Rattus norvegicus: one gene and its partner. The protein of the gene in region 1 purifies or fractionates together with the protein of each later gene. This does not show direct contact. Links are inferred from orthologs where the notes say so. Each region holds a gene or a part of one and is shown on either strand. Other genes may lie near its edges.

What was found. Proteins that work in one complex are often made in the same cells at the same time.
Region 2: the proteins of Larp7 (region 1) and Ccnt1 purify together in Homo sapiens (affinity purification with mass spectrometry; 10 studies listed by BioGRID and IntAct, with this or other methods). This does not show direct contact. The link is inferred for Rattus norvegicus from reciprocal best matches to the Homo sapiens genes LARP7 and CCNT1.

The regions. Positions count from the first base shown.
Region 1 is NC_086020.1:218,672,842-218,678,437, reverse strand, and holds part of Larp7 (la-related protein 7), read left to right. Parts: intron 1-1,821; coding exon 1,822-1,981; intron 1,982-2,112; coding exon 2,113-2,204; intron 2,205-5,596. UniProt on the Homo sapiens protein: RNA-binding protein that specifically binds distinct small nuclear RNA (snRNAs) and regulates their processing and function.
Region 2 is NC_086025.1:131,568,017-131,574,310, forward strand, and holds part of Ccnt1 (cyclin-T1), read right to left. Parts: intron 5,975-6,294; coding exon 5,811-5,974; intron 5,661-5,810; coding exon 5,590-5,660; intron 4,057-5,589; coding exon 2,659-4,056; 3' UTR 1-2,658. UniProt on the Homo sapiens protein: Regulatory subunit of the cyclin-dependent kinase pair (CDK9/cyclin-T1) complex, also called positive transcription elongation factor B (P-TEFb), which facilitates the transition from abortive to productive elongation by phosphorylating the CTD (C-terminal domain) of the large subunit of RNA polymerase II (RNA Pol II).

The DNA of each region.
Region 1 (5,596 bases):
ATGTTTTCAAAATAGTATGGAAACAAAACAACTCTAGTCAGAATTTGTACCTCTCTGTAAACTGCTAAGAGAGTCCAGGGTAACTCTGACAACTCTTAGCTTTACTCTGAATACCAAAATTCCTCAGGATAGAAGCCTGAACGCCTGCCTTTCTTGTTTCCCTAATGGTTGGTGACTGTACTTCCGTGGAAAATGATAGTGATTTGACCTTGGAGTTGTTGAGATATGTATTCAGTGTTAAGCCTTGAAGAGCTTTTCATCGATAAAGATATTTGATGGCATGTTTTGTTTGTTGGTTGGCAGGATTTTTCAAGACAGGCTTTCTCTGTATTCCTGGCTGTCCTTGCACTCACTCTGTAGACCAAGCTGTATTTGCCAACCCCAGGTTCTATTAGCTTACATCTGAAAACATGGTAACAATACAGAATGTAGCTTAATAACCTGACAGTAAGCAAATGCTGTGCAAGCATGGAGGCCTGGACTCAGTCCCAAGCACACAAAGGAGAATTTGGTAATGCAACAGTTGAAAGTCCTGTTGTAATTACTTAGTTGTTCTGAAACAAAAACTGAGCTCTGTTGCTGTCACTGATTACCAGATTAATTTGTCATTATATGGGTTTTTAATTAGGATATTAGCCTGACTTTATAATGGATAAATTGTAAATGCCTTTTGAACTGTGGTACTCTAAACTATCTGAAAAACTGATTATAAAACTCTCACCACGAATAGGAAACCCATTACAGTTTCATCAACTCAGTGCAGACTGGTCTCTTGCTGTGTCTTACGTAGTAATGATTAACTGGGTAACAACATTGGAAGGCTCTCAGGTCTCATTCTCTCTCTCTCTCTCTCTCTTTTTTTTTTTCCTTGATTGATGAAGGAAACATTTTTCAGTATGGAAGTTCCTGTCTTACAGAGCATGTGTTAAGGGTGAGCTTCTGTCTTCTAGGCCTGCAGTTCTCTTGTCCGTCACAGTTAAAGGATACACTCTTTTATCCTACAATAGCTAAAGTCTCAATTTTTTTTCTAAAACATTTTAAAAGAATTTGAGTTATTGTGCCTAGAAAATTCTATTCTATACTAAACAGTTTCTTTATTTCTTTAGTTTTAATGAGTGACATTTAACAATAAGATTACTGTAACATTCCTGCATAAATGCAGTGTGTTCTGTGGAGAACCTGGTGTGAGGAAAAAAACTTGATTAAGAATGCAGGAATCTCCTTAATTAGAGCTCACAGCAGGTGTTATAGGTAAAACTCTTCCTTGCTGGGTGACCTCAGCTTGCTTAGAAAAGGTTACTAAGGTATTTTATCTAAAACTGAGAGCTGTTGGGCTGTGTTCCAGTAAACCTCCCCAAGAGCCTTCAGTTTCTGTCCGTTATTGTACAATGTTGAGAGCTGGTTCTCTGTGTTCATTCACACGTGGTGTTGTGTAGGTGAGTGCGACTCAGCTTCTCCAAGCCTCTCCTCCTTGTATTTTCCTCTTCTTCGTACTAACCTCCTTCCAGCTTGCTGAGCGATGGGCCATTTCTGTTCAACTGTACAAGAGTTCCCTCAGCTGATCCCCTTGTCAGTTCATATTTTAAAGTCACATTCAAGAGGATGAGCTACAGTAATTTGCCATACGTTGTTAAATTGCTTCTCATTTATGTGTAAATGTATTTGAAGAGTAGTTCTGTATATTTTAGAAATATTTTATATATTTACCCATCAACTAGAGAGTAGCTTGATAGAATGCATTTTGTAACCTCTGGTTACATTCGTTTATTGTCAGACATTGTTAAGGTGATTTTTAAGTTTTCATGTTTCTTTCCTGTATAGGATATTTTGGCCACAATCTCAGAAGTTGTTTACATTGATTTGCTAGAAGGAGATACTGAATGCCATGCCCGATTCAAAACCCCAGAGGATGCTCAGGCAGTAATGAATGCACAGACTGAAATTAAAAAGAAGCACAGTTGGAACCTCGAGATCCTTTCTGGTAAAACCCAATTGTGTTTCTGGTGAACACTTATTATTGTAGGGGATTCTTTTACTTGTTCTGCACTGGGCTAATGAACCTCTTCCCCCAAACACTCGAGCTGGTGGTCAGAGCTTTTGCTTCTTTTTAAGGTGATCATGAGCAGAGGTACTGGCAGAAGATTTTGGTAGATAGACAAGCCAAACTTAATCAACCTCGGGAAAAGAAAAGAGGCACAGAAAAGGTAAGGAGTCGTATGCATCTTCTGATGGTAATAAATGAGGATGAGTTCACTTGTATTTCCTCTTAGAGAGTACTGCTTCAGACTGAAAAAGAATGCAGATTTCTCCTGCTTTTGGAGTAGATGGAGTTAAGATGCTTTCTCACAAGGATCCATAACTGTGATTGCATTTTAAGTGGACCCAGTCCTGATTCAGAGCTGCTAGGCTTTGTAGGTTGCGGATAAGTGCCTGTAGAAAGATTTTCTTCTGTACAGGCTTGACACATGTGAAGTTTCTGATGGCCACGTTTTTTATGATAAGTGGCACCAGCAAACTGAAATAATTAAAACAAACTGATTCATTCAACAGTTTTATTTCTATGATAATTAATGTAATATGTTGCTCACTGAGAATGACATTTATTCTATGAAAGCAGATGATTGTTCTTTTAAATATTGTTGTAGTAGAAGGGCTTAGAATAGACTGTTAAGAACTTTGAAAGCCATGGTGCAGATTTCCTATGCATATTGGCTTGGTGTGTTTTTTCATTTTCCTCCTTTGGCATTGATGATGATTGACAGGACACTTGCCACTGTTAGGTTTTGTCAAGTTTTTTTCTTGAGTGGAGACAGGGAGGCCTCCTTCCTTGAGGCTCTTTCTTCTTGAAGGTGTGAATTTCAAAACTAGTTCAGATGGCAATGTAGTAATCCAGAACAGATAGGTAATATTTATTCTGCTAATTAGTGTGAGGGTTTGTTTGAATTGGCTATATTTTTTTGAACTAGTCATTAAAACATTTTATTTTTAATCTTAAAACCTTTTTATTTTATGTATATGTGTACACTGTCACTGTTCTGGTGTGTCCAGAAGAGGGCATCAGATCCCATTACAAATGAGCCACCATGTGGTTGCAAGGAGTTGAACTCAGGACCTCTGGAAGAACAGTCAGTGCTCTTAACCATTTCTCCAGCCCTATTTTTAATTTTTAAATTCTTTATTAATCACTTTAGTCTCAAGCAAAGAAGTGCTTTACCTAGCATTTTGTAAAGTTAAACTGGGATAACAACAAAGCAGTTACTCTTTATGAGTTAACATGCTTCATTATCAGGGATGTTGGCGTGATCTAGATAGGAACAACTGAAGCTAGCTGCCTTCACAGTTTGAAATTCAATGGAGCTGCCACCCAGCTAGAAGAAAGGGAACCACAGCTAACCATTTGCTAATCTCACTTGTTTTCTGGTGCTGGAGATTGAACTCAGCTCCCTGAGGGTGTTAAGGAGTGCTTCCTCTACCTCTGGACTACCTGCCACAGCTGATGCTCTCTGTGCTCCTGCAAACAGAGCAGTAGGCGTGGATAACGCATTCCTGTTCTCCCTTAGCTTGCTTCTAAGCAGTGCCAGTGTGGCACAGAAGATTAAACCAGGCCGCTGTCAGATCCACTTAAAAATTCAGAAGTGCAACATTTTAGGCTAAAGTAATGGGAATTATTAAGTACATAGAGAACAATGACAAAATTTCAGTGATTATGACATAATTCCTTCCTTATATGACAGCTCATTGATTCCATGAGTTAAGGACAAAAAAAAAAAGAAAACAAACAAACAAAAAAACGCAAGCAGATCAACAGAAAGTGTGTTTACTCTCTGCACAGATGTTTGCATATGGCAATCAGGCAAATGTAAATGAACTCAGGATTACGAACATAGGAAACTATGACTTGATTTTCTGCCCCAGGTCTTGGTGGGATGTGCTTTAATTTTCACTTCTTGGAAGCCAGGAATCAGCCAAGGCTCAAGGCTTTGCGGTGCTGGGTGAGGGTTTTTTTATTTCTTCACTTCAGCTGTTTAAATATTCTTTAATACTTTTAATTAATTATTTTTACATTTCATGTAGATGTGCCTGTGCCACAGCATGGAAGTTAAAGGGCAGCTTCTCCTCTTGTCATGTGGGTCCCAAGGATGGAACTCCTGTTGTCAGGCTTTGAAGGAAGTGCCCTATCCCAGAGGCATCTCCCACATTTTTTAGATGTTTGACTTTGTTTTTAATCAAAATGGACTTTTATTGGAATTACTGCTGGATATTACCCAGCTAAAGACAGAATTCCTGTTTGGAAACACATCATTAGTGTGTTAGGCTAGCCAGAATTTTTATTCTTGCCATTTGTAAACAGTGTTTTAATTGAATCCTGTTATGGCCTCCTATCAACAGGTATGACATTAGATTTGATTAATGGATTGAGTGATTGAGACAGGGTTCCTGGCATCACACACTGACCTCAAGCTCACTCAAGCCGAGAAAAGCCTTGCACTTCTGATCCCCTAAAACTAAGCTATAACTTTTTTCTGCTAAGGAAACATTTTGCTGACTGTCTACACCTACAGTCCCAGCTACTCAGGTTTTAGAAGGTGTAATTGGCACAAAAGAATTGTAAAATTAGGTAGGTGTCTTAAGGTCAGCCTGATCTCCATTGTGAGTTCCAGAACAGCCAAGGCTACAGGGAGAAATCCTGTTTGAACAAAACAAAACAGCAAAGAATCACATCATATAAGAGGTAGAGTGAAAGAAAACAAGCCTGGTATGATGGTACCCACCTTTAAAGTAGACAGATACGTGGTATCACATACTTTCTATCCTAGTACTCTAGACACAGAGGCAGGCAGATCTCTTAAGTTCAAGGCCATTGTCTGCAGAGCAAGTTCCAGAACAGCCAGGGATATACAAAGAAACCCTATCTCAAAAAAACCAAAATAGGAACTGGAGAAATGGCTCAGTGATTAAGAGCACTGACTGCTCTTCCAGGGGTCCTAAGTTCAGTTCCCAGCAACCACATGGTGGCTTACAACCATCTGTAATGGGGTCCGGTGCCCTCTCCTGTTGTGTCTGAAGACAGCCGCAGTGTACTCTTATACATAAAATAAACAAATCTTCTCTTTCTCTCTCTTCCTCTCTCTCTCTCTCTCTCTCTCTCTCTTCCTCTCTTCCTCTTCTGCCTTGACACGATAAAAAAAAAATAAATAAATAAATAAACAAATCTTTTAATAATCATAATAAAGTGTACATAATTGTTGAGCACTATAGTCCGTCCCACACTGAATTATCCTTCCAGTAAACGGTTTGTTGTTTGGGTTTTTTGGGGTGGTTTTTTTTGTTTGTTTTTTTTGTTTGTTTGGTTTTCTTTCTGAGAACTGTGTGGCTTAGGCCAGCCTTGAACTCAAAGGGATCCTTCTGCCACTGGAGTGCTGGGATTAAAGATATGTCAGTCACCATGCCTTGCCAATAAACAGTTTGTAAAGCAAACTTGAGAAGTATACAGCCTAGAATCATGACATCCCATTCAAATAATGTATAAATCTTTAATCACAGTGTAATTAAGGGTCTCATAGCATTTAGTCATAGCAATTACTATCCAGGGGGC
Region 2 (6,294 bases), on another chromosome or scaffold:
GATACACAAAGACTACTTCCCACCCTTTGAAGGGCTGAAGGCAGGAGACACACATGGCTTAGAAGCCTCATTATACAGAAGCTGGACACGATGCATGCTACTTGGCAGGGTTATCTGCTAACCCCAAAATAACACAATGTAGCAGGTCATGCAGAGCCCCGAGGGAGGGTCAGGACCTATAGACTTAGAAGCAGATACTGCTTATCTAGACAGTGCCAGGAGGAAGTAATATATTAAAGTCTCTAAACTAACCAAACTCAGTGTGGAGCTACAGTAAAGACCAGACTACAGCATGAAGTAGCTCTGTAGGCTTTAATAAGCAGTTATCTCTAGTCCACTACAGACAGAGTTCTAAAAAATTCAACTACAGTATTAACTACTGTGAAGAAATGCCATGACTGCAAATATGACAGCCGTTCTGGTAAGGGACTGCATGTGATCAGAAAATACGTGACATTAACGAAAGTAATTTAAAAAAACCCAGCCAAAATCAAATCATCAATTCCAGACAAAGATACAAAATAAAGGGTATATCATCCCCTTTTGGGAAGGTCAGGATGGGAAACAAAATCTAAACAAACGCCAAGCCTAAATTTAGTAATCATGATGACACATCTATCTTGCACAACACAGGAAATACCAAGAGAGAAAATGTCACTTTAAAGTCACACACCAAGAACTGTCACTGGTTTCTCAGCAAGGAGCTCCTTATTTTGCACAGCAATGGCAGGTACTCCAGACAGTTCAAACATGCAGATTAAGAACCACAAAGTCACCCTAAGATATACTCCTTCCTATACCTTCTTGCCTTTATGGGGCCAGTATATCATCCACAAGAGTAACTGCCTCGGTGTTTTCCTAGTCTCTTCTTGGCAAGCAGCACCTGTACAACTTCTGTTTCCCTATGACTTTCAATGAAAAGAATCTGACTTCTCCCCTAAAAACTACTTGGCACGACAGAAGCTTCATTAATTAAAACAAGAGACAAATTATTTTCATAGCACCATCTTATCCATAGTCAAAAAAAAAAAAAACCTACACATACACACGTGTATACACACACACACACACACACACACACACACACACACACTCATGCAATGAACCAAAAAAATAAAAACAAAAAAAAAAAACAAACCAGCAATGATCTGTGGCTAGGTAGCATTTTCAGTTAGACAGCTTGGCTTACAATTTTTACCTAGTCAGCATTTCTTCAAAGATTTCCTTCATCAAAAATATTTACGTCTAATGTCTGGAACAATCAAGCCCCTAAGAGGACTCCTGACCGACCATTTTCAAGGACTTTAAGCATCTGTCTAGAACCAAAAGCCACCCACTAAGACACGATCTAAACACTGTCTGTTAGCGGCCTTGCTCACTCGTTACACCATGCTGTTGAATTCCAACCGTCTCTCAAGTCAGACAGGCTGCAAACTGCAAGTGTGCAGTTGTTTCCCATTAGATAAACAGATAAAAAGCAAATCTTACATTCATAATGTAACAAACACAAAGTCTTCAGATTCCCAAATCACAATTTCATTGTCTTTAGTATCATTAACTCCCTGGCTTCTCCCAATCCTATTATCACACATGGTCTGGTTTTTCCAGAGAGGACAAGCAAGCATACCTTTCTTCCCTTCAGAGACCTGAGCTTTCACAAAGCCCAACCTGGATTCTGTAGGGAATTGGCCAGCCCTGCTTTTAGGCTTCTTCCTCAAGCCCACTTCCATTCCGCATTGAAAACTCAAAATGGAGTAAAAGGGAAGTTTCCATAATGGTGCTAGAGAGTTAGGGCATTGGCTACACCTGCCCAAACTAGAAGCTAGAGGGCTACTACTCAATTACAAGATAACCATGTGGCGAAGGGAGGGGAGGACTCACACTGTCATTACAGGCCTCTTTATAGCTTCAAGGCCAACTATGCTCTCTAATAGAATGTTGAGATGTGAAAATGGCTAAGAGTGGGAGGAAAAAGGTAACATGATTTTAAACGCACACACGCACGCACGCACACACGCACGCACGCACACACTTTAAAGATCTCAATACTTCAAGTGGCCTGAGCCTATTTCACTCTTGGCCAAAGCCTACCCTCCCGCCCAACCTGCACACATTCCCACCCTCCGACCCCCAGTCATTGCTATGTTCCTCATACACACAGCAAAATCCCTTTCCCCTTCCCAATTATATATAAAAAAAACTAAACAGATAACTTACTTTCTTTAAATTATTTTTTAAAAGTCTCTTAAAGATTTGACGTTTAAATACTTCCTCTCTTCTGATATGTTAAACCCCAAAAGAATCCACACTGCTGGACACGCCCTCCACATTCCAGTTCTGGCGAGAAGAGGGAAGAGAACTACTCCAATCAACCTAGTTAGGATGAGGAGAGGCCATAGCGCGTTCTTAGTCCTCCTTCACAGCTTCCACACAACCCTACCTCTCTAACACCGGTACCAACTACAGGTGTAGGAGGCAGCAGATGTAATAACTGAGGCCCTCCAGCACCCCCCACCTGTCTCAAATAGCAATCTATTCCTTAGGTGACATATTTCATAAGGGATGTAATTTTCGTAGTCTAGTATCAGTAGTCAAAACAAAAAAGAAAAAAACAAAACAAAAAAGTGTTTTTTGTTTTTGAAGTTTTTGCCTTTTTTTTCACTTAGGAAGAGGTGGAAGAGGTGGAGGGGGCTCTGACGGGAGGGGTGGTGGCCGAGGTTTGTCTGTGTTGCCAGATCTGGAGATGCCAGCAGCTCTCGGATTCATATATTCACCATAAGAATGGACAAATTCAAATGCAGGGGGCTGAGTGGGCTGAACACCTTGGGCACTAAGCAGGGAGTGGAGCATATTCACAGTATCTTGATAATCTATTGACTGAGTTGTGTTGTGACCGTTAGCCCCAGGAGGGCCTTTATCCAGTTTCACATGAGGAACTCTGGTTTTACAGCTAGGCTGTGAAAAGGGCAGGCCACTTGTGTCTGAGCTATGCCCAGGCAACTGGGTCATTGTAGGAAGAGGCGGGAAGGGGAAATTCAAGGAAGATGATTTAGTACTCTTGGCAATCTTGGCTGGATGATCAAATACTGCTGCCCCAGTCTCTTCTGGGGGCCCCCTTTTACGAGTAGAGCTTGAAGAAGACAAAGTACTAGACAAGCTATAGGTTTTGTGTGCTAAGGTGCTTGTCTGGCTGCTGTGTTTTGGATCACTTGGTCGTTTGCTCACAGGGCCAACTGGCAGCTGTAAGTGAGAGTGCTTGTGTGAGTGGTGGTTGTGGTGGTGGTGGTGGTTAGACGGGTGAGTCCTCTGCTTCTCTTTGTGCTCTCGGCTCTTGGCAACACTGTCTTCTACAGAGTTGTGCTTGTCACCTGCAGAGTGCACTTTAATGCGCATTTTTATCTCCTCCGGTTTTGAAGAGGCCGCTTTATCTCCACCAGCCACTGGGAGTCTCATTTTCAGGGCTGATTTGTCAGCCTTATCCAGAAAAGGACGTTCAGGATTTTCTGAGCCCTCGATGGGCATTTTCAGAATAACTGAAGAATGGCTGTCATGAGATAGGAGATTCTGGGCAGCATATGCATACTGTGACTTCACATTGGCCTCCATGTTCTCCAGCTGCCTCTTCTGAGCAGCCAGCTCTTCAGCGTGCTTTGCACGGTATTCTTTAAGTGAAACTTTAGCTGATGGCACACTCTTGCTAGTCTGCTTCTGGGAAACAAATGCATTCGAACCATCATGTTGCAAGGAATGATCAACTCCAATAAGTGCTAAATTCTCACTAGTCCGATGACCCTGAGAAGCCTCTAGTTTAAAGGGAGGTTGAGAAGACAGCCACCGCTCGCCTTGCAACATGTCCACGCTAGTTAGACTGCTCGAGGACTCTTCAGAGGCAGGCAGGGAAGGCACTGCACCTGTAGACGCGGCTGACATGCTCATTAAGCCTGCGATAGTTGTGTCTGAAGAGGTCTGAGAAATCATATTGAGAATCGTCTGCTCCGATGTGTTTTCATCCGCTCCCCGGTCATCCGGTTTGGTTTTCATGGCAGCCTGGTATGCCTAGAATGAAGCAACAAGCATTTTACTAAGTTGCAATACACGGAAACAACACCTACAGAGAACTTGTTCATGGCTTTTTGTTCCTTTGTTGTACTGGAGGTGGGTTTTTGTTTGAGACCAGGCATATGAGATCCTCCTGCCTCTACCCCTGAGTACTTAAGAGGCACTCATTTACACCGAGAAAAGGAAGCCGATCTTAAACATTCAGTATAACTGCCTAGGGCTGCGGCCAGCCTTTAAATAAGTTCTAGAAAATTTGTGAGGCTTTGTATGAAAAGAAAAGATTTAAGAAACTCTAAGCTTCTAGAGGCAAAAATTATAATTCGCCAAACTTACAATTAGTCTGAACTAATAAAAAATAAAGGAAATTTCTATGCATGGTGGTGCGTGCTTGCAATCCCAGCACTTAACCCCAGGACTTAAACCAGAGGCAGAGGCAAGAGGATCAAGAGTCAAGGTCAGCCTCCTAACAGCAAGGCTCAAGGCCAGCCGGAGCTCCAAGAGACCTTATCTCAGAGGAGCTGGGCAAAGGAAGGATCTAGTCCGTCTCTGAGTGCAGGTGACTGAATGCAGGGCCTTGTGCATGTGAGTGCTTCCAAGTCCGTCTGACACTGGCGGGAAAGGGAGGGACTCTTTCTTATTCATAAGACTAAGACATCGGCATCACAGCTCCACTGCAACCCACTGAAGAAGAAAGCCCTGGGTAAAGACCCGGCTCAGCAGTTAAGAAAACTGCTGCTGCTGCTGCTGAGGAGTTCTGTTCCCAGCAGCTCTAGTGGCTCACAACCACTTAACTCCTGTTCCAGAGGATCTGACACCTCTGGCCTCCACAGGTACTGCATGCACACAAATGCAGGCAAACACTCATACACAAAAATAAAAATCAATCTTCCCCCACCCCCAGGTCTCAGTATATGTAGCCCCAGGTGGTCTCAGGCTCAGAAAGATCTTCTTGTCTCTGTCTCCCAAGTGCTGGCATTAAAGGTATGCAGCACCATGCCCAACTGTAATGATAAATCTTTTTAAGAAGGAAGGAAGGAGGGAGGGGAGGGATGGAGGAAGGAAAAGAGAAAAATAAAACATTTTTAAAGGTTTCACATTTTAATTAATTAACTAATTAATTATTTAAGTGTAGGAGTGTCTATCTGCATGCATACCTGTATGTCAGAGAGGTATCAGATCCCTTTATAGGTAATCATAAGTCACTATGCGGGTACTAGGAATCGAACCCAGGACCTCTACAAGAACAGCCAGTGTTCTAAACCACTGAGCCACCTCAGCAGCCCTAAAACATTTTTAAAGTAACTAATATCATAGAGAAAATTACACTTGACCTTATAATTCCATCCATTCCACCATTCCCCTACATTCTTTTATTCCCTAAAGAGTGAATCTTAGTTCACACCCATGCTATAAAGTCACAGCTACTGTTAAGTAAGAAGGAAACTCCAAAGCCAGTGCACACATGGATTCTGGCATACGCACTGCTGCAGTCAAAAGAAACACACAACATGTTTGTCAGCACTGTCTTACCCTCCAATTCCGAATACGTTTCAGCCTGCTTGGTGTTTTCTCTAGAATCTGTAGAAATTCATGTGTCAATTCTACAAATGAAACATTCAAGAAATGCTCAGAGACAAGAATGCAATAATAACAAGAATAACCTCAACTAACTCACTGTTTTCAGGTCATGTCTGGCCAGATATGTGACAAATCAAGACGTGCGTTTCAAGGTCCCTTACACTAAAACTTACCATCTAAAAGTTCCAAGGTCACAGTGGCGTCAACATACTCCCACCAGTGCTTCCCGTCAGTTGAGACTGGGATCTCCCAGTTGGACCACTTGCAAGCCAGATGGATGCAGACACAGGCCACCACAGGAGGTGTGTACTGCAGGCTAAATGTGGTCAAATGCAGGCTGACATCAAAGGGAAGGAAACAGAGAGTGTCATGAGCCCTCGAGTCTCAACCCTAAACTAAAACTCTCCATTATTTAAAAAAAAAAAACAAAAAAACCAAAAACAAAATCACAGGAGAGCGAGAAGGGCAAGAAGTATCCTGTGCTCTGACTCAGCATGCAACATGACTTCCTTCTCTCCTTTTTTTTACAGATTTTCTCTCAGTTATATGTACACTTCTGTGTTGGGGTATAAGCACAAGCGAGGGTGTCCAGGGAGGCCAGAGATGTTAATGTCCTATGGCTGGAGTTACAGGTGACGGTGTACCATCACAACAGGT